Linked DNA regions of Cricetulus griseus. The main gene of each other region encodes a partner of the protein of the gene in region 2 in a complex. Links are inferred from orthologs where the notes say so. Each region holds a gene or a part of one and is shown on either strand. Other genes may lie near its edges.

Region 1 (10,553 bases), on a different chromosome or scaffold from region 2:
GTTGGAAGAAGCAGCTAAAGATGAAACTCATTTTGAAAAGAACCTAGCTGGGAGCTAATAGCTATTCTAGTTTGGTAGGCATCTTTTTAAACATTTATTTAAACCATATCCTGAATTTAAATGCTAAAATCCTGATTTGTGACCTAGGTGAAGGGAGATTTAACACCTAGAAAACAAGTTTTAGCCCTGGATTTTTCCATGAGGAAACATCTTACTTGACTGATGTGTCCAAGGGAGGGGGTAAAGAACAAAACCTAAAGAAGGATGGCTTCTTGTATACATAAGTTTTATTAAACAAACATTTATTAAACAAACATCCCAAAATGTGGCTGTTATTTTGTTAAGTCTGGGTGGCAGGTTCCTTTAATGTTGTTTTTCTATAAAATGTAAGTAAACTGGCCTCTGGTCTTCCAAACAAGGTAATCTTCCTGAGTGCTGGGCTTTACTATGGTTTTGAAGTCCTTCTGCCTTAGTCGCTCAGTACTGGGATTCCATGTGTGCACCATTACACCCAGCTGGAGGAGGAAGCCTTTTAAGCACAGTGATGGGGAAGGATGCAAGGTCCTCAGCAGCTGCAGTGCCATACAACCTTGGCTGTAACTTCCCAGAAGCACAAGAAGCACTCAAGGCCCAACTCCAATTTCTTTTTTTTTCCCATTCATTTATAAATAAAGTCATGCACAATTATGATCCAATTCAATTTCTATTTGCCAAGTAGTAGTGATTGGAGTCTATAGTTTATCTATTACTGAGTTCAGGCTATCATGTCATTGACTGTGTGGTCAGACTATTATTTGTAGGCACATTTTAACTCAGTAACGAATCTGATCAATATTGTAATCAGACCAGTATTCACTGAACCTTAAAAACTGCTGTTTGGGCCTGGAGAGATGGCTGAGCAGCTAAGAGAACTCACTGCTGTTCCAGAGGATCCAAGTTGGTGGCTTACAACCACTGTAACTCCAGCTTCAAGGTATGACACTTTCTTCTGACTTCTATGGGTAACAGTATCCACACACTTGCACACGAACATGAATAAAAATAAAAATCTTTATATAAAAACAAACAAAAGCTCCCCACCCAAAACCCTGCTGTTTAGACTTGGATGGGGCACTATGTCTGCAATCCTAGCATTTAAAAAGCAGAGGAGGAAGTGAGATCAGGGTAAGCTTGGGCTACTTAGCAAGACCAACAAACAAACAAAATTGCTATTTAGTGGGAAGAGGATTGACAGCAGTAGAGGCAGACAAGAGATGGTAAGGGGGATATGTATAAGTGAGAATAAGATTGAAATATATCATGTACATATATGAAAATAATGAAAAACATCGTGTATAATTAACATGCTAATAAAACATTACAACTTAAAAAATTGTATGTACAATTTCAAAAAAAAAAAAAAACAGTTGGTTTTCTAGTGCTGTGGGTATAGCTAACTCAATGGTAGAAGTGCTTGTCTGGCAGGCATGAGGCACCAGGTTAGAGCTCCAACAGCACACACTCGAAGAAAAGCTATTTATCTATGTCTTTGTATGTGTTGAATTTTATTTTATATGTATGAGTACTTTGCCTGCTGTGTGCCCTGTGCACAGCTGGTGCCTTCAGAGGTGCTGGGGCCCAACCCAGGTCCTCTGCAAGAGCAACAGGGTTCTTACTCAATGAGCCCCATCTCGACAGCCCCATAACTTCATTTATTATTTATATGTGACAATATGGAGAGCAGAGAATAACTTTGTGGGGCCCTTTTTCTTTTTCCATCTTTATGTGAGTTCAGGGTTCAAACTCGGGTGTCAGGCTTGCATAGTAAGAGCCTTTACCCACCATGCCATCTCACCAACCTAATTTTCCTAAATCTTTATCGAGAGATTACAGTATTCAAGGAGACCCTAAGGTTTGACCTCTATAATCCCGATCTTTCGTTTTTTTCGATACAGGGTTTCTCTGGGTAGCCCTGGATGTCCTAGAATTCATTCTGCAGACTAGGGAAGTTAAAGAACAATTTGAAAACCACAAAGTATGTGTTTAAAAAAGAAAGATTGAAAAATGTCAAACTCTTGCACATCTTTATGATTCATGGTGCAAAGAATACTACAAGGCCTGCACGAGATAATTGAGGGTAAAATGGCTCTTATGACTCAATGGCATGTCACTCTGTAAAGGTTTTATTGTCAAGTGTTAATGAAATGTCTGCTGGTGGGAGGGATCCTCTTCACTTTCAGGCCTAATCTTGCTGAGTGGAGTTTGGCCTCTAAGGTTTAAGGACTTCTGGTAACAGGTGGTTCAACAGTTACAATCCTAAGCATGAATTAGAAGTCAACTCCAGGAGTTCCGACCCTCGACTCTACTACATCAAGGTGACTCACACAGCTCTTACTTCAACCCATTATATGACTTCAGCAATGAAATAAACACATACTTCAACCTTCAAAGGCTCCTTTGGCAGTACAAACATGCCTTTTCGAATCTGGCTAACGACCTTTCCTGGCTATCTTAACCATAGTCAACAGAACCACAGATACCCTACCCAGTCAAGTCCATTTCAAAGGTCAAGCTCTTTGACGCTTTTCAAAGACGATTAAGCCCTCACCTCTTCGGATCGGTTCACAAGTCCCCACTTAGGCGAAGGTTTTCTCATCTTACCCTTCGCCTCTGCTCAAATATAGGCACTTGGGCCTTGAACGACTACATCTTCTTAAAACACCTCCGTCGGCATTTTGGCATTTGAGGCTCAAGCTACGATTACAACACCTGGGCGAGTCTACCCCAATGAGTGAAAGGCCGGTTTAGCGAGGAGGAGCAAAAAGGCTGTTTGCGACGAAGAGGCGGCGGAAGCACCGCTGGCTGCCCTCCCAGGAGCTGAGCACTGGAAGGACCGGCAGAGCCAACCCAGAATCAGCCGTTCCGCAGGCCCTGCCGGCCTCCGCGTTCCCGGCAGGCTCCGGTGCAGCGAGGGTGGGGAGAGAGGGTCACCGCGCCTGCGCGTTGGGAGGTGTGACCCGGGTGGGAAAGCCCTCGGCGTCCGCCATTTTGGCTGCCTCTGTCGGTCTTTTCAGTTACCACGTGAACCGCCGACGGAGACCCGTGAGGGGGGAGGTGGCGGCAGCGTTAAGTGAGAAAGGGGGGGAAAAGAAAAAAAAAAAAGAAAGAGGAGAAAGGGGTGTCAGGACAGGGCGGCGCGGCGACACCCGAGGCCTAGTGGCGGCGGAGCGGATTCAAGGCTGAAGCGAGCTTGAGAACGGCAACGGCGGCGGGCGGACAAACGGACTGACCGAGCCGGGCGGTGGCGGGAGCCGCGGGAGGAGCCGGAACCATGCCGGCCGTGAGCCTCCCGCCCAAGGAGAACGCGCTCTTCAAGCGGATCTTGGTGAGTGTGAGGCTGCGGGCGGGCGGCGGGGAGCGTCTCGCTGGGAGCCGGGCCTGTCACTTCCAAGCCCGGGCGGGCGGGCGGGCACTGGGCCACCCCGAGGGGGACCCCGCCGTGGTAGTGCGGGCCGGCAGAGCGCACTCCTTCGTCTCGCCCCGGTGGTGCCCACCTCGGTCCGCGCGCCGCGTACCGCGGGCTTCGGAGGCCTCGGTTCCGGACTAGGCCCCGACTCTCGGGCTACCACAAGGCTGCCTTTTACCCTCCTAGAGCGAAGGGAGGAGCAGCCTGGCCTTGAGCGGGACAGCGGGCCGCACGGGCCCACTCGGGCCAGGGATCCTGCTGGCTGGTCGGGGTGGCACCCTCGGAAGGAACAGGTGGTGTGGCTGAGGCCCGACTCATTCATTGCTTGAACGCGCTTCTCCCTCCACGGCCCGTCCCTCCCTCTTCCTCCCTACCTGGGATTCACCTGTCCCCGCCCGGCCGGGGTCACCGTGACTCCAGAGGGGGCAAGGATGGAAAAGCGAAGGGAGCTTTGCAGTCTGCAAACTCCATGTAGTGGCTTGCATACTTGACCCCGCAGCCCCTGGTCGTCTTTTTAGGGGTGGGGTGGGGGAAACCCATGTCTTAGTTTGAGAGCAAACCTGCCCCACCCCGCCATCCTTCTCCGGAGGTGGGACTCATTTCTAGGGGGCGGTCCGGTCCGGTCCGGTAGGAAGTTCTAGTACTTAAGTACTTTACTTAAGACTGTGAAGTTTTAAAAACACCTATACAAAAACTTAGCCGAAACGATATAAGAATCTTTTGAGATGGATCTTGTTGACGCTAGCTCTGTGTTTCAGATATTTGCAGTTTGCATAAGAAACGCATGCAGTGATACTTACAGAGGTACTGGATTGAAGCTGTTTACATTGTAAACTATGCCCAGTCGTCTTGGTGCTGTCATTAATACATTGTAGCACTTTTGTTGTTGTTTGGTATTTAGTGTATGAGTCGCTTCTTTTACACAAACAGTTCTTTGTGAAAGAACTGTATTTGCCAATTTTAAGACTTGAATGGCGGTGGTGTTTCACACCTGTAATGCCGGCACTGGAGAGGAAGAGGCAGGTGAATGGATCTCTTGAGTTCGAGGCCAGCTTGGTCTACAGAGTTATACAGAGAAACCAGGGCTATACAGAGAAAAAATGGGAAGAGGGAGAGATTCGTGTATGTGTGTGTGTGTTAGCCTTTTAGCTTGCAGTTATAATTCACTTGTTTGACAAATATGGAGATCTAGGGTTTGTTTGTTTGTTTTTTCTTTCTCTAAATAACTCAGCAGTTGAGAGCACTTGGGCTCTCAACTGCTTGAGAGCCAGAGGTCTTGAGTTTAATTCCCAGCAACAACATGGTGACTCATAACCATCTATAATGGGATCTGATGCCCCCTTTTGGCGTGCAGGCATACATGCAAGTAGAGCTCTCAAACACATAAAATACATAAATCCTAAATAACCATTTATGTCGAGGTAATTGATTTTACAGAAATATCCATGTTGTAAATTAATGAATTTGTGTTGAAAAACGATAGTCACATACTATTTAGTGGTATTTTGTTTTCATACCATTTGAAGTGGAATTGTAGCATAGTTTCCCCCCCTATGTTCTGAGACATCTTTTTCCCTGTCTGTCTGGAAAAAAAAAAATTAAAAAGACATAAACCAGATTTGGCAGCAAGTGTTTTCATTCACTGTGTCGTCTCATTCACTGAAGAATAATAGTTGCTGTTATTTCTGTGCTGGAAGGCTTTGTGCATTCGAAGCAGGTGATCTACCGCGGAGTTACACTCAATTATTTTAGGACTGATGTGTAGGTAGAACTATAGCATAGTTTTCTTGCAACATTTACCCACCCACCCCCTGTCCCCTTATTTTTCTTTATCTTTTTTTATAATGCTGGAGGTTGGACCTTGTGCTAAATACAAGCAGAGCTATGTTCCCAACCCCCTCATCCTCTGTTTATACTGATGGGGGGGGGAATCTCTGAAAAAACGAGAGTATCGAAAAATATTTGTCTTTTACCGATATTTAACAAATTGCCAAGATTACTTTTTCTTTCCGTACATAGAAAAAAAGAAAACTGTATGCTTATGCTTCACTCCTTAGAAATAAAGACATGGCCCTGTATAGTTATAATACCATTAACAGTTTTTTTCTAAAATTCAGGCTTTTCAACTGTTAGTGACACCTTTTCATTGTTTTTTGTTTTTGTTTCTGTTTTTGGAGACCGGTTCTGTGTCACTTTGGAGTGTGTCCTGGAACTCGATTTGTAGACCAGGCTGGTCTTGAACTGTCAGAGATCCACTGCCTCTGAGTGCTGGGATTAAAGGTGTAGGCTACCACGCCAGGCTCAGTCTTTCTCTATATTTCAGGCAGGCCCCCATTTCTTAGTATTCCTTTTGCTTCAGCCTTCCAGTACTTGGATAGCAGGTGTGATCCACCATTCTGGGCACAATCAAGTGTGTGCCTCTGTGTAATATGCACATGTTGGGGTTGACTCCAGGGTGTTGCACATACTGGGCAAATACTCTACCTCTGAGTAGTATATATCTCCTCCCCTAAAATTACTCTTATTTTGAGAGAGTTATAAAGTCAAATGTAGTTTGAGATATTCTTTGTATATTTTGCTTACTTTTCCAAATATTATATCTTATAAATCTTATAGTTGATTGTAACATTGATAATGTCTACCAATTTTATTCATATTTCCCAAGTTTTATTTGTAGTTGTATATGTGTTCATTTCTATACAGTAGCTATTACATGTGTAGGTTCTGTGTCTGCAGTCAAAATATAGTTCTACAGTAACACAAAGGAGCACTGTTTTGCCCTTTTAGAACTACAACCACCTATATCCTTCCCATCCTTTTCTCTCACCCTCCAGCAACTGTGATTAGTGTTTCTCCTATTGAAGTAATTTTAAAGGACTGTTTCCTAAAGAGACTCATAGAGTGTATATAACTTACAGATTGGCATTTCTTTAGTGCAGCAGGATTTCCTTGTGGTTCATCTAAGTTTTCACTTGTATTAGTAGTCTGTTATATTTTATTGCAAAGTAATATGCTATAATGTAGATTTAGATTTAGTAGAGTTTGTTTAACTATTTATGGAATTACAGTTCTTGGTTGTGATGGTGGGACAAAAATCTTTAATGTTGTTGCTAAAATCACGGTGCAAAAGGATTAATTATTTTAAAGCAATTTTTTCTTTTTATTAGAAAATTATTTTACATGTCAATCCCAGGTCCCTCTCCCTCCCCTCCGCCTCCCCCCACCCCCAACTAACACCCTACCCATCCTATACCCTTTCTGCTACCCAGGAAGGGTGAGGCCTTCCATAGGGGGCCTTCAAAGTCTGTCATATTCTTTGGGATAGGGCCTAGGCCAACCCCCTTGTGTCTAGACTCAAGGAGTATCCCTCCATGTGGGATGGGCTCCTAAAGTCCATTCCTATGGTAGCAGTAAGTACTGATCCATTACAAGAGGCCCCATAGATTTCCAAGGTCTCCTTACTGACACCTATATTCAGGGGGTCTGGACAGTCCCATGCTGGTTTCCCAGCTATCAGTCTGGGGATAAAGCAATTTTATTGTGTGTTTGTATGAATGTGTGCCTTCGTGCCAACACACACATGTAAGGGTCAGAGAACAGTTTCCCAGAATTGGTTCTCTTCCTACCATGTGGGTCCCAGGCATGAAATTCAGATCTTTAGGTGGCAAGTACTTTTATTCACTGAAAGGTTTTGCTAGCCAGTTAAAAGATTTATTTCCATAAGACTTAAACAAGAAAAATGTGTAAATCTCTAAATGAAAGAAGAAAAAGAGATACAATGTTTTTATTGTTGACAGACATTAGGAATGAAAAAAATGTTACCAAGCAAAATTATAGTTTTGTTTCAAAATTTCAGCTTTTACAGTGTTAGCTCTTGCTTGATTTTTTTTTTTTTTTTTTGTTTTTTGTTTTTTGTCCTGGAACTCACAGTATAGACAAGGCTGACCTCAAAGTTACAGAGATCCACCTGCCTCTGCCTTCTGAGTGCTGGGATTGAAGGCATTCACTACAATTCTGGAGAGCTCTCTTGATTTTCAAGCTTTCTCTTCCCCCACTTTTTCTTGTCTGATAAAGGAAAAGTTGGGCATACTCCAGTGCTAAAATCAAGTGTTGGTAGGTTGCTGACGGTAGCACTCCTTTTGTTGTGGTGTTCCATACTTAGTAAACTTACATAGGGCCAGTTCATGCTTCACAGAATTATGAACTGTCTCTGGCTCAGTATTTTAGTGTAAACTCATGTAATAGTATCACTTTGCACAATTTCATAATTTCTACAGTGGATTTACTTGACTTAGTTCAGTTTGTTTGATACCTGCAATAATATTTGTTACATATTTGCCCCTCCCTTTCTCCACAGTGCTGTTTTCTGACTAAGCATTGTTATAAATTGCTAAAAATATGTGCAAAATATTTCTTGTCTCTAGTTCATCTAGAGAGAAAGAAGATTAACTGGTGTTCTATTTTATGTGAGATTTTTGCTTGGTTGCTTACCAGTCCTTTTAAAATTTCACATCATTTTAATATATTTAGAAAATTAAATCATTTAAAAAATTGTAGCCTCTGCATACCTTTCCTGCTGTTTGTTCATCTAAATCAGTGGTTCTCAATCATCCTAATGCTTCAACCCTTTTTGTTCATGTGATGGTGCTCCCCAACCATATTATTTTCCTTCATAACTGTAATTTTGCTGCTTTTATGAACTGTAGTGTAAATATCTGTATTTTCCGATGGTCTTATGCAACCTCCGTGAAAGGGTCATTCAATCCTCAAAGGGGTCATGACCCACAGGTTGAGAAATACTGATACAGAATAGTTTGAGAATTGTCCTAGAATTGTCCATCATTCTATTTGATTTTTCCAAACAGAGTTTCTCTGTGTAGCCTGTCCTAAAACTCACTCTCTAGATCAGGCTAGCCTCAAACCCAGAGATCTGCCTGCCTCCATCTCCCCAAGTGCTGGGATTAAGGGTGTGAGCCACCAGTGCCCAGCTTTATTCACTTTCTTGGGATCTAGGTTTATGGTAGGAAAGATGTGCTTGAAAGGTGTGGCCAAAACTCACACCTTTCAAATTTCAGCCCACTTGAAAAGTGGAACCTTCTTAATGCCTGAAATCACCAAGATTGTTATTGCTATTGCTTTATCCTTGTCTCTTACTCTTTATATGTTAATGTGAGTGATACGAAAATAAAACCCAAGTTGGGAATACTTACCACTGTTTAATAAGTGTTGTTTTGGGGCTGCAGAGATGGCTCTCCGACCTATTCCAGAGGACCCAGGTTTAAATACCAGCACCCATATGGCAGCTTACACCTGTCTGTAACTTCAGTTCCAGAGGATCCAACACCTCCACACAAATATACATGGAGACAAAACACCGATGCACATAAAATAAAAATTAATTATAAATGTTTTGAACTTTAGTTTGAGTGATTTGTTGTTAAGTTCCAAGGACAGAATATTTCTTAGAAAAAGGTTAGGAGCCAGGCAATGGTGGCACATGCCTTTAATCCCAGCACAGGGGAAACAGAAACAGAATTCTGAGTTCATTGCCAGCCTGAGCTACAGGAATGAGTTCCAAGACAGCCAGGACTACACAAAGAAACCCTGTCTCTAAAAATCAAAAGGGACAAAAAAGAGAAAAAAAAAAAAAAAAAAGGAAAAAAGAAAGGTATTTCGGGCTAGAGAAATGGCTCATAACCAAAAATATAAGAAAAAGGTTAGGAGAATGGTGACAGCTAGGTGATAGTCTGTGATTTATTGAACACCTTCCATTTCCTAGGCTGTGCTCTGGACCCTTCAGAGTAGCCTCAGATTTCTGAGTACTAGATTGTGGGTGTGTGCCACCATGGTTTTCTCTACAGTGCACTTTTGAGAGTTCTTTCCTAATCTCAAAGGCTTACAAAGCAGACTTTTAATTTACATATTTATTTGTGTATTCTTGCATCTGCATGCCCACATACACATGTGGAAGCGAATGTGGTGATCAGAGGCAGTTTGTGGGAGCTGGGTCTCTGTTTCTACCATGTAGGCTCTGGGGATCAAACTCAGGTCATCAGGCTTGGCAGCAAGCACTTTTACCCAGTGAGTTATCCTGCTGGACTCAGCAGGATTCTCCCCCCCCACCCCACCCCAGACAGGTTTCTCTGTAGCTTTGGAGCATATCCTGGAACTTGCTCTGTAGACCAGGCTGGCTTTGAACATACAGATTGCCTGCCTCTGCCTCCCAAGTGCTGGGATTAAAGGCATGTGCCAACACCACTCAGTTTCAGGCAGATATTTTTATTAAGCAAACAGAATGAATGAAGTTAAATTAGGGTTCACACGTAGAGCTTGGAGTCAGGAATCAGACTTTATTTTTTCAGGGTAATTAAATCATACTTATCTAATATTTACTATTTGGGGGAGAGATATGAGAGGAGAGAATAAAAAAGAAAGAAAAGTGTCCTTATAACTAATGACAATTAGGTTAATTTTGTTGTTGATAAAATTCATATTGGAATTATTAACAAGTAGATTTCTATATACACAGGAAAGGTCACCTGCCTTTTTTATACTATGTCTGTCCAACTTGGAGATCAAACCCTTGGCACATACATGACAGGCTCAGCTATCATTTAAATTTCAGGGTGACATTATTCTAGTTTTGCAGTAGGGTCTAGGCAGTTACTTTGAAATTGATTTCCTTTTTCCTTTTGAAATTAGTTTTAATATATTTCTGCCTCCCTGTACTACATGCATGTAAAACCAGGGCTGCTAAAATCTTTTCCACTTGTGACCTCCCTTTGCCTGAAAAATTGTATACAATTTCTTAATGGAGATATATAAGGTAGATGCTCATCATACTGATCATAAACACATTTATTTATTTAAAAAAATGATGTTGGGGCTGGAGAGATGGCTTAGTCCTTAAGAGCACTGACTGCTGTTCCAGGGGATCTGACACCTTCACCCAATGCACATAAAATAAAATGTTAAATAAATTTAAAAAATTGTAATGTCTTTATTAGCATATCTTAGTTATACATGGTAATGAATTTCATTAAAATAATAAAGAAATTTTACATTTATTTATTTTTGCATGTTTGGGGTGCATGTCACAATACTCATG
Region 2 (10,553 bases):
TCCTTATCCACGTCAGCATCCTTGTGGAGAAGACACAATAAGGACACTATCCTTTAACTGAAGGGAGGTTTACAGCTTACTGAGGAATACACCAGCTAATAGAAATAATCTGTAAGTAAAAATAAAGGAAATAATAGAAAATATTGTGTAGTAGCCTAAGGGACAGACTGGCTACCTTGGCCCAAAGGGGAAGAATACTTTTCCAATGTCGATGATACCCTATAAAGACAGTGAAACTAAGAAAGACCTCATAGTGGAAAAAAAAATCAAAGGATGTTGGGGCCCCAACCTTTACATATTACTTAATGGAGGACTTATTCCCCAAATAAATTTCTGCATATAAATCTCTCCCTCCCTTTTGAAACATGGTCTCACTGCTCTAGCTGGCCTAGAACTCTTTATAGACCAGGCTGGCCTTCAAGTCACAGAGATCCGCCAGGCTCTGCCTCCCATTGCTGGGATTGCAGGCATGCACCACCACACCCAGAGACACACAAAAATGTGATATACTATACAGTATCAGAAATACCTTCCAATGCTCAAATCATCTATTTGTATACATATAATGTCAAACATTTTTTTCACATTTATTCTTCATTGTCACTGATTTCCTGCTGCTAATCTTCCACGTTTCATCAGTAGTCTAAGTTACTACTTTCACGAGTTCCCTAAAATTGAAGCAATTAATTGTGACATAAAACTGCAGACTCATCCAATCTCTTTCTTATGAATTTCTCCTCCTGTAGTACTCAGTACTTTTAAACTGGTTTCCTCTAGTCCATTTTGGTGCACCTGCACAGAACTGGTTTGGACTTCCAAAGCACTTAGGAATTCTGTTTATTTGGTGGAATGTCACATGGGCAGGAAACCAAAACCATTTTTTCCCTCTCCTCAAGAGATCAGGGAAGCTCACTCTTGAGAAAAACAACGGCTAATACTGTATTTCAGGAGATGGCTCAGTCATTAAAGTGCTTGCTTTGCAAGCATGAAAATCCAGGTTTGGCTCCCCAGCATGCATTCAAAAGTCAAGTATGTTGGTGCTCCTTTATCCTCATTGCTCAGGGGCAAATGGAGACAGAAGGATGCCTGGGGCTTGCTGAATCAGTGAGCTAACCTACCTTTAAAAAAAAGGAGTGGGGGAGAATGGAGGAAGACACTTCTGGGAGGCACACACATGCAAATAAAAATGACAACAAGTGAATGGCTGAGCCAACTGTGGTGTTATCCATACCACAGAATAATGATTAGCAATGAAAAGGAACAAACTATTTAAGAACCTATATTTATGCTTGTTATATAAACCTATCAATAGCTATTGTGGATCACAAAATGGTAAAATTGTAAATATGAATACAAAAACCAGTATGATTTTTCTGGGCAGTGCAAGATATTTTTTGTAAGAAGTTATCAAATAGGCCAACCTTTCTATTTTGTTAAATTGCTATCATTACTTTAGCTTGCAGCTCTCATTAACAAATAAGATCATGTAATTTCAGAAAACGTGGGAGGGGAAAAATTCAGTCTGACAAATCACTAGAAGATAATCATTCCATCTTTTTCCTTTTAACTTTCAAGTTCAGAAGACTAGATCTAAAGCCTCAAGCATTCATGGAGGTAAGAACCATATTCCCAGTCCTCAGCAGATTTTAAAAAGTAAATTCTTCAATTACATTGCTTAGAACTAAGATTTAACTAAAAACATGAAACCATATAAGAAAATGTATAAAAGTCAAATGTGTAATTTAAAACAAGGAACTTTCTAAGTTTGCAGAATAAATAAATGAGTTTAGCCACAAACTGAAAAACATTCCTTTCCTAAAGCTCATTGTTTGATATCAAAACAGTGGCTACTACAGTGCATATAAAATGGGAGTACAAAGGGTTGGGCAACTCTACGGCAAAAGAATTCCTGTATTTTCACAATATATTATACACCCAAATCAGAAGAGGTCACTTCATTTTTTTTTTTTTGCAAATGCAAAAGCTAATTAAAAACACACTCCACAAATTTAAACTGGCCAAGGAATTGACTGGGAGGGACAATTATGTAGGATTTAAAGAAAAAAAAAATGCCCAAAAGGGGAAGGATGCCACAGACATCACAGAAAATACCAAGTCAGTAATATCTAGGCTTAACCTTCCTGCTTTTAAATTATAGCCAAATGAATTTGGATTAATTATATTTTCAGCTTGATCAATTTCGGAAGAATTACTTCCCTTTCGGGAAAACCTCGTCACTTTCCCATAAGCTAGCCTAGGTCTCCAGCCCAACCAGGCAACACCATCTTTCATTGCCTTCTCATTCAACTGTCGCATTACCAAACACCCTGTTCTGAAGACAGTACCACGGCCTTCTCTCCGAAAAGAAAAGGCTGTAAGCCCTGCTCTTGCCCTTCCAGTCTCATCCGGAGCAAGTGAACACTCATTGAACCTCTCTGCAGGGATGTCCGATAAGACCCTTAGAATCACCGAGAATGCACATTCGTAGGGCAGTTCTTCAGTGACTCTGCAGTGAGGGCCGTATCAGTGACATTCCCTCCCAAGCCCGTCTCACCGGAGACGCCTCTGCCTCCAGGGGGTTCTCCTATCTTCCTGCTCATCCGGACGAAGGCCTTTGCCAGGGGAAGGAGCTCTGGGGAATGGGACCTGGAGGTGGTTGCAAACCCGGAGTAATGGCTAAAGCAATCCTACCACCTGAAGCCCCAACGACTCCAAATAGGGAACCGTAATGGCCGCACTCGCTCTCAACCCAGGCAAAGGTGGGCATCTTAATCCCTCGCCAGTGGACTTCGGGGACGAGCCAGGGGTCCAGAATGTAGATCTGGAGAAAAGAGCTACCAACCAGCCAGTGCAGGATGACAACGGGGAAGGAGCCCCAGCACCGCAGGCCGCCGCTCGCACTCCCCAGTCCCCATCTCCTCTCTCCCCGTCAATCGTCCCCACCAGTCGCCGGTTACCTGTCGCACCTGACCCGCCGGGGCGCGAAGAGCAGAATCAGTACCTACACGGGACCCAGAGGCTCTGTCACTGAGGGAGGGGAAGACTTCAGCTGCAAGGGGCGGGTCGTCCTGGTCATGTGACCTCAAGCTCCACCCTGCTTCTCCTCCCCAGCCACGCCGCCTCTCGCCAGTCTTGAATCCTAGCAGGTCGCTTGGATGTGAATGGTTGCGTGGCTAATGAACGAGTTAGGTCCTTTTTTCGCTATGACTGGGTTATAAACTGCAGCACAGAAAACGAGGACGGCAAGGGTTAAAGTGCATTGCTAAGGAAGTGACGTTAAGTCACGCTCTAGGGGCCGGAAGTGGCGATGGAGTCCCGCCTCTCTCAGTCCCGAGTTAAAATCCTGGCTGGAAAGCTTCAGCCTATCACGTGATTAAAAAAAAAAAACAAAACCGTGGTTTGCCTGCTGGAAGATAGCCAAGTTATCCGGGCCCCTCGTTACCTTTTGGTTTTTAAAACACATTTACTGCAGGTCTCCACAGGCTTCTCCTACATCGAGAAGAACCCGTTTTATAAAAGCCTATCGGGCGACAAGAGCGTTTGAAGGTCACTGGAGAGGGGCGCGGGAAAGACCGATCTTGCAGATCTGAGAGCAGTGAGGGAAGGGCGGAAGGATCCGGATTTTACCGCCGGAGCCTACCGGGCAAGCTCGGCGGGAGTGTCGCAAAGGGTGGGCGGAGCTAGCCCCCCGGAGGCCCAGCCCAGGGCAAAGGGGGGGAAGTCCTGGGGGGGAGGGGCGCGCGGCACGGAGCACTGCGGCTGCGCGCGACGCGGCGGCCGCGCCGGCGCGCTGAGGGGGCGGGGTGAAAGGTCACAGCGCGGCGGCGGGTCTGGCTGGCGGCAGCTGCGGGCGGGAGCGGAGTGTCCCGTGTGCACGTGTGGAGGAGCGGCGGCGGCGGCGGCAGCAGCGCGGCGGCGACAGATCTTCCCGCGTCTCCCCGGAGCTTCGGGGCCCGGCTCGGCTTTCGTGGCCTCCTTGGCCCCTCGGCGCCCTTCCCTCAGCCAAGAGGCCGGCGTGTGGGGTTGAGTGGCCTGAGCTCAGGGCGCGGAGAGCTCCCGGCGGCGAGGACGACGGCGTTGGTCGCGGCTGTAACGACGGCCTCAGCAGGCGGGGAAGATGAAAGGGTGAGGAAGGAAGGAAGGGAGGGAGGGAGGGAGGGCAGCCGGCGGGGGCCCGGCGGGCAGGGGAGAGGGGCGTGGGCCGGTGGACCCGGAGAGCGCCGCGAGGAGAGACTCGCGCCAAGACCGGGCCTCCGGAGGGACCTTGCCAGGCTCCTCGGTCACCCCACTCCGGGAGGGGGGCGGAGGCTAGGCCGGCTGTTGGCGGGCTGAAGGGCCTGCGGAGGCAGGGGCGCGAGTCCACGAATCCAGCCCAGAGAACGAGTGTGCACCGAGTGGGACAGCCGGGAGGAGGTATGGTAGGCGCCCGGGGCCTTTTCCCGGGAGCGCACGGCCGAGCCGCCTCAGGTGCTCATCGGTCTCCAGGATCCACGCTGTGGCTGCGAGCTTTGACACGTTTCTGGTTTCTTCCTACTTGTGGACTGTGCAGAACCTTCTGGAGGGAAAAGGAATTGGAATAAAGAGCATGGGGATGAGTGTTAGGAGCTAGTGACTCAACGAGATTTGGGTTGGGTCAGAGCGAGTGGAGGAGGGAGGGGGAACGAACTCAAGCCGCGTAGACTTTGGGGTGCCAAAATGTTTAAGGAAGTATCCGGGATCAGTAGGTGGAGCTATTGCTTCAAGAGAGTTTTGCCCCCTGAGTGCAAAGAGGAGTGTTTTGGCTGCTCGTTCGAAAAGTTGAGGTTTGGTCTTTGAAATCTTGGGTAGCATTAGACGTTATTTTTGTTTAACTGTTCCCGTTTGGGAAAAAGTATTTCCCTTCCATGGATTTATAAACTGTTACAGTATTAACACCGCGCTAACACATTGCTTAGGCAAGCTGTTTTTGAGGTTGCCTTTACAGTCCTTTAGAAAAAGAAATGGAAGCTTAAGCTTGCAAAACTTTTTTGAAATACCGTAAGGATTTTTCTAAGTCAGCTGAAAATTTGAACTATTGTTTCAGTTAGTTAAACTATTTATTCAGCATCCTTTTTGGAGAACGAAATATATCGTCTTGTGTAAAAGAAAGGTCACATTATCTTTAACTCCATGTTCTGAGAAAGCTTAATTTGATTCTAAGTCTACATATAAAATACTTTTTTACTCTGGTTTTGCTTTAGATGTTGGTTATTTGTTGGATTTTTGGGGATGTTTACAGCACTCTAGAGTCACGATGCAGAACGTTTGGCTAATTTTTAAAAATGTGATCCAGTTATCTTTAGGAGGTTTTATTTTTCTAGTAGAGTATGGCTTTGATACTGTCTTTCTCTTTTCTTTTTCTTACTCATTGATACTCAATACATTTTTGTCATGTTCTGTTATAGTAATAGCAATAAAGATAATGCATCTAAGAATTTATTCTGGTTTAGATTTAAAAAATCTTGGATCTAGTTCAGTTCTTAGGTGTAGGATGCAATCTTTCTGATACTTAATTTGACAGAAATGTAGAACACTGGCATTATTGGCAATCTATTCGAACTCGCATTTAGTATATTGTTGAAGCAGCTGTATCCTATTAAGTTCTGGGAACTGAAGGAAAGCACTCTGCCACTGAGGTATATATAACCCTAGCACTTTATTTTGAGATAGGGTCCCACTAAGTTAGTCAGGCTGGCCTTGCACTTGGCAACAATACTTTTGGCCTCATGCAGCCTTTTAGTATTGCAAACTTGAGCCACCAGTACCAGCTGGTTCTGTTTACTTAAACAGATACTCTGTGTAACATAATTAATGGAGGCAAATGCCTAAAGGTGAGGAAATGGGCAAATTTAGAGAAAACTTACAGCTGACTCCATAGTTTGGGCAAGTAAGCATGCTCAAAATTAAGATTCTTTAAGTAAGGTTTTTATTTCTTAGAATTGGGAGCTTAGACAATTTCAAGGTGATTTCACAGGTGTGAGTCTTTAATTTTCCACAACTAACTCCCAGTAAACATGGAACTTTATTTTCCTCTTTCTTCCTTTAAAGGTACTAAAGAAATGAAATCAGAGTGTAGTGCACTTTTGGTTTTTAAATGTTTGTTTTAAGGTGTTAAATGTCCTTGAGATGCAAAACCACTATATGTTCAGTCTCCTGACTTCATTGGAAAGGCCTGTGAAAAGAAGTGGTCCTGTTTCATAGTTTTTGGACTTTGCTGTTGTTGTTGTTTTTTCTTTTATTTCATAGGGTTGTTTTTTGTTGTTGTTGTTGTTGTTGTTCATTTGTTTATTTTGGGGTTCCCCATCCCCACCCCGAGACAGGTCTCTCTGTGTATCTTTGGGGCCTGTCTCACCATAGACAAAGGTGGCCTCGAACTCAGAGATCCAACTGCCTCTGCCTCTTGAGTGCTGGGATCAATCAAAGGCGTTCACCACCACTGCCCAGTATTTCATAGTTCTGATGTGGAATTTTATTTGGTAATTTTTAAATTTTTTTCAGTTAAGTAGATGACTGAAGTTGGAAGCCAAAAAACCCCTTCTGTGATGTAATCTATGATTTAAATTTTCGGTGTTGAAACTTCTTAAAATTACTATTTTAAATATTTTATTTCATATTTTTTACTGTTAGTAGTTTTATTGATAACAGCAGTAGGAGGGTATCCTGTTAAATCATGTGTTTTCATTATTTCTATAGTAGATAAATTTGCGATTAATAACTATTTTTAAATGCATGTGACAAGTATATTAAGTTATTGGCTATTTCAACTGAGGTTTCCTTTTTTATTTTTTTAATGGTTTCTTTTTATTTCTTATATGCATTGGTGTTTTTCCTTGCATGAATGTCTGTGTGAGGGTGTTGAATCTCATGGAACCACAGTTACAGACAGTTGTGAGCTGGCGTGTGAGTCTTGGGGATAGAACTAGGGTCCTCTGGAAGAGCAACCAGTGCTTTTAACCTCTGGACCATCTCTCCAGCCCCTCAACTGAGGTTTCTTGTTTTTATGAACAAAGGGCATTGTGGCTTGAATTTGTGGTTGGTAAGGTAATTGCGATTATCTGTTATTCCTCCCCAGGGAAAATGATATTTAGGCAAGAAGAATGCCATAGATAGCAATGGCTGGAGTGGCAGTGCAATTAGTTATCTGTAATCGAAAATAATAATAATTTCATTTATCCTTTAATTATAATAAAAGATGCAAATTAGTTCTAATAAAACTGCCTTTGAACAAGATAGGAATACTGAAGTGACCAAAGGTAGGTAGGAATAATATTAAATACAGACCAGTGTGGTTACTAATTCAAACTTGGCCAAATGTTAGTTACTGAGTGGAACAAAAGATTCTGCAGTTAGAAGTGAAACCATGTTAACAAGTATGGAATAATGGTTATCTTCAATAGTATATGGACTGGGAACAGGCCCAGGAAGTTTCTGTATCTTTAGGTGTTGATTACATGGAAAATAGGTATGTTCTTTTTTTTTTTTTTTTTAACTAAATTGTAAACAAGATTTGTGCTTTGTTTTTTTGTGGGTTTTTTTGTTTGTTTGTTTGTTTTGATTTGATTTGATTTTTCGAGACAGGGTTCCTCTGTGGCTTTGGAGGCTATCCTGCAGACCAAGCTGGTCTCCAACTCACAGAGATCCGCCTGCCTCTGCCTCCTAAGTGCTGGGTTTGAAGGTGTGCTCTCCACCACCATCTGGCAATTTGAGATGGTTTTGGTCCCTAACCTTCACATCCATCTGCCTCCTCCTCTCCTATAGCTGTTTGGTACTAAGCCTGCTTACAAAATGTATCTTGTATACCAATAAAATTGGCTGTAGAATCCAACTAGAAACAATGCAATACATGTTTCGCTTTTTGTGTAAAACCAGTAATTTGTGACTTATTAAGATAGTGAATTTTAATAAGTACTGTGTAATGTCTCCTTTGCTATGCTGAGAGTTTTGAAATGTCTGAAGTATAATTGTGACTTTGAATTGGCATGGTATTGCTGTAGTGATCTCTTCTTTCCCAAATTTGTGGACAACTTTTACTAAAGCTGCTACAAATAAATAAATAAATAAATAAATAAGCAAGCAAACATAAGTAGATAAATAAAGGTTTCTATGAGTTTAGGGGTTATGTTCAGTTGATATAGTACTTGCCTAGTATGCATGAAATGCCAGCACTGAATAAACTGGACATGGTGGTGCACACTGTTTTTCCAGCACTAGGAGGCAGAGACCAAGTATCAGAAGTTCAAGGTTACATAGTAAGTTCAATGCCAGCTTGGGATACATGAGACACTGTCTTGAAAAGTTTCTATGTTTAAGAATTGTTAAGGGTCATCCAGGAGACTAAGTGCTTACATGCTTTTCCTGTTTTATCATAATACTTTGAATAAATTATATGTTCTTGTTCTCAAAATTTGTAGCCAAACTTTAATTATTACATCTTGTCAGTGCTCTTTCCAGATAAAAGTAATTAATACTTATTTAAGTTTCACCTTGCTGTATTGCCCTTTAGAAATCTTGATTTTTGTTCTTCAGGCATTAATTATAGCTTTCAATTTTTGTGGCATTTGAGGAGGCATTTTTTTTTAAGATTTTATTTATTTATTATGTATACAACATTCTGCTTCTATATATATCTGCACACCAGAAGAGGGCCACCATGTGGTTGCTGGGAATTGAACTCAGGACCTCTGGAAGAGCAGTTGGTGCTCTTAACCTCTGAGCCATCTCTCCAGCCCCCGAAGAGGCATTTTCAATTATTCAAATTTCCTTCATCTTTGTTTTGAGCCTAGTCTTCAGTAACCAGTAGAATACTCATGTAACTATAGAGCACTTTTTATTCTAAAATTGTGGTTTAAACTACAGAATTATAACATAGTAGTGCTATTATTCCTCCTTTTGATTTTCTTTTTTGTTGTTGTTTTTGTTTTTCGAGACAGGGTTTCTCTGTGGCTTTTGGAGGCTGTCCTCGAACTCAACAAAGATCCACCTGCCTCTGCCTCCCGAGTGCTGGGGTTAAAGGCGTGTGCCACCACATCCTAGTATAAGTCCATTATTTTAATAAATAAAATTTACTGTAACAAATCGCATTTAATTAGAAGCAACTAAGTACCACAAATGATAGGTAGCAATAGAGTATTTTAAAATACATTTCCTGTCTTTCTTGTGGTTTTGTTGACTGTCTGTAGGAATAGCTTGAGCCTTATGAATGATAGCAGTCCTGGATGCAAATTCTAAATTATGTTGGTAGCTGATGGATTTTCTTGTTACAAAAAGATTATTCAGACATACTGTGACTGCAATAGCATAAAATTCCATTTGCCGTTTCTGCTCATGATCAGCACTCTATGATCCCAAGAAATAAAGTAGTAGAATCACATTTCAATTATTGTCTTTGAATTTAATGTCTTCAGTTTGTTGTTTGGCCTGTCCTCTCTTCTGTCTCCTCAGGATACTCTATATTTAATAACACTCACTAGGCCAAACAAGAAATTCTAATTTAATCTTCGCACTGTTTCAGTAAGGTTGTTGTATCTGTACTTGATTGTTGAAAAAAAGGTACATAAGCCAAGAAGGGAAGGGCTTACTTGTTTCTGAGATTTTAAACAGTTTTGTAGAGCAAGAAGTTGGAGGCTGAGGCTAGATCAGTGGCCATCAATCACCAGGAATGGCTTTATTGTATTCATGTAATGCCAGGATGTTTTAATTTCACTTGTAAGACTTAAGTACAACTGAGGTTTTTGTTTGTTTGTTTGTTTGTTTGTTTGTTTGTGTTGGGATTTCTATAGCCCAGGCTGGACTTGTACTTATTCAGTGGCTGGGAATGACCCTGCACCTTTACCCACAAGTGCTAGGATTACCATTCCCCCACCTGCCAAAGGATTTTTAAGCAGAATAGTCATCAAACTTTTTTTTAAAATTCTGATTTCATTGCAATGGCATTATCTCCTTGGCTCATATTATCTCCTTCCATTATATTTTCAGAAACAATGGCTTGAACTAGCATGCTAAGAAAAAGTATGGGAATCGTTTATAAAGTTGAAGAAATGGATTTGATAGGTATTAAAATAGGGATAGTGCTGGGCCGTGGTGGTGCATGCCTTTAATCCCAGCACTCAGGAGTCAGAGGCAGGCGGATGGATCTCTGTGAGTTTGAGGCCATCCTGGTCTTCAAAGAGAGTTCCAGGATGGTCTCCAAAACCTACAGAGAAACCCTGTCTCGAAAAACCAATAATAATAATAATAATAATAATAATAATAATAATAATAATAATAGGGCATAGTGTGTGAGTTTCCATCTGTGGTCAGCTTGCTTTACTGCTGTGGCAGAACATCATGATGTTGGAGCATAAAGCAGAGAGGCTGTTCACCTCATGATCATATCTCAGGGAAGCAGACAGAAAAGGTCTGTCTGCAGTGAGATAAACTCTCCAGAGTTAGAACTTGAAGCACTGCTTCCTCCAGTTGGACCTACTTTCTAATCATCCATTTGGTGTGAATCCATTGATGAAGCTAGCATCCTTGTAGTCCAGTTACCTTTCAGG

What was found. Proteins that work in one complex are often made in the same cells at the same time.
Region 1: the proteins of Naa50 (region 2) and Naa15 are in contact, whole or in part, in a cryo-EM structure (PDB 6PPL), measured with the Homo sapiens proteins. The link is inferred for Cricetulus griseus from reciprocal best matches to the Homo sapiens genes NAA50 and NAA15. Residues at the interface, in NP_079422.1 of Homo sapiens: Arg5, His14, Asn15, Lys17, Gln18, Arg21, Leu22, Val25, Phe51, Asn52, Ile54, Ala55, Leu80, Pro82, Tyr83, Leu86; in NP_476516.1 of Homo sapiens: Pro369, Pro370, Thr371, Leu374, Ser403, Thr404, Pro405, Thr406, Leu407, Ile408, Phe411, Glu433, Ala436, Leu437, Asp438, Thr439, Ala440.

Annotation. Positions count from the first base shown.
Region 1 is NW_023276806.1:100,063,206-100,073,758, reverse strand, and holds the start of Naa15 (N-alpha-acetyltransferase 15, NatA auxiliary subunit), read left to right. Parts: upstream 1-3,167; 5' UTR 3,168-3,310; coding exon 3,311-3,364; intron 3,365-10,553. UniProt on the Homo sapiens protein: Auxillary subunit of N-terminal acetyltransferase complexes which display alpha (N-terminal) acetyltransferase (NAT) activity. The NAT activity may be important for vascular, hematopoietic and neuronal growth and development.
Region 2 is NC_048597.1:46,265,047-46,275,599, reverse strand, and holds the start of Naa50 (N-alpha-acetyltransferase 50), read left to right. Parts: upstream 1-3,809; 5' UTR 3,810-3,996; exon of another isoform or gene 3,997-4,099; 5' UTR 4,100-4,117; coding exon 4,118-4,125; intron 4,126-10,553. UniProt on the Homo sapiens protein: N-alpha-acetyltransferase that acetylates the N-terminus of proteins that retain their initiating methionine. Has a broad substrate specificity: able to acetylate the initiator methionine of most peptides, except for those with a proline in second position.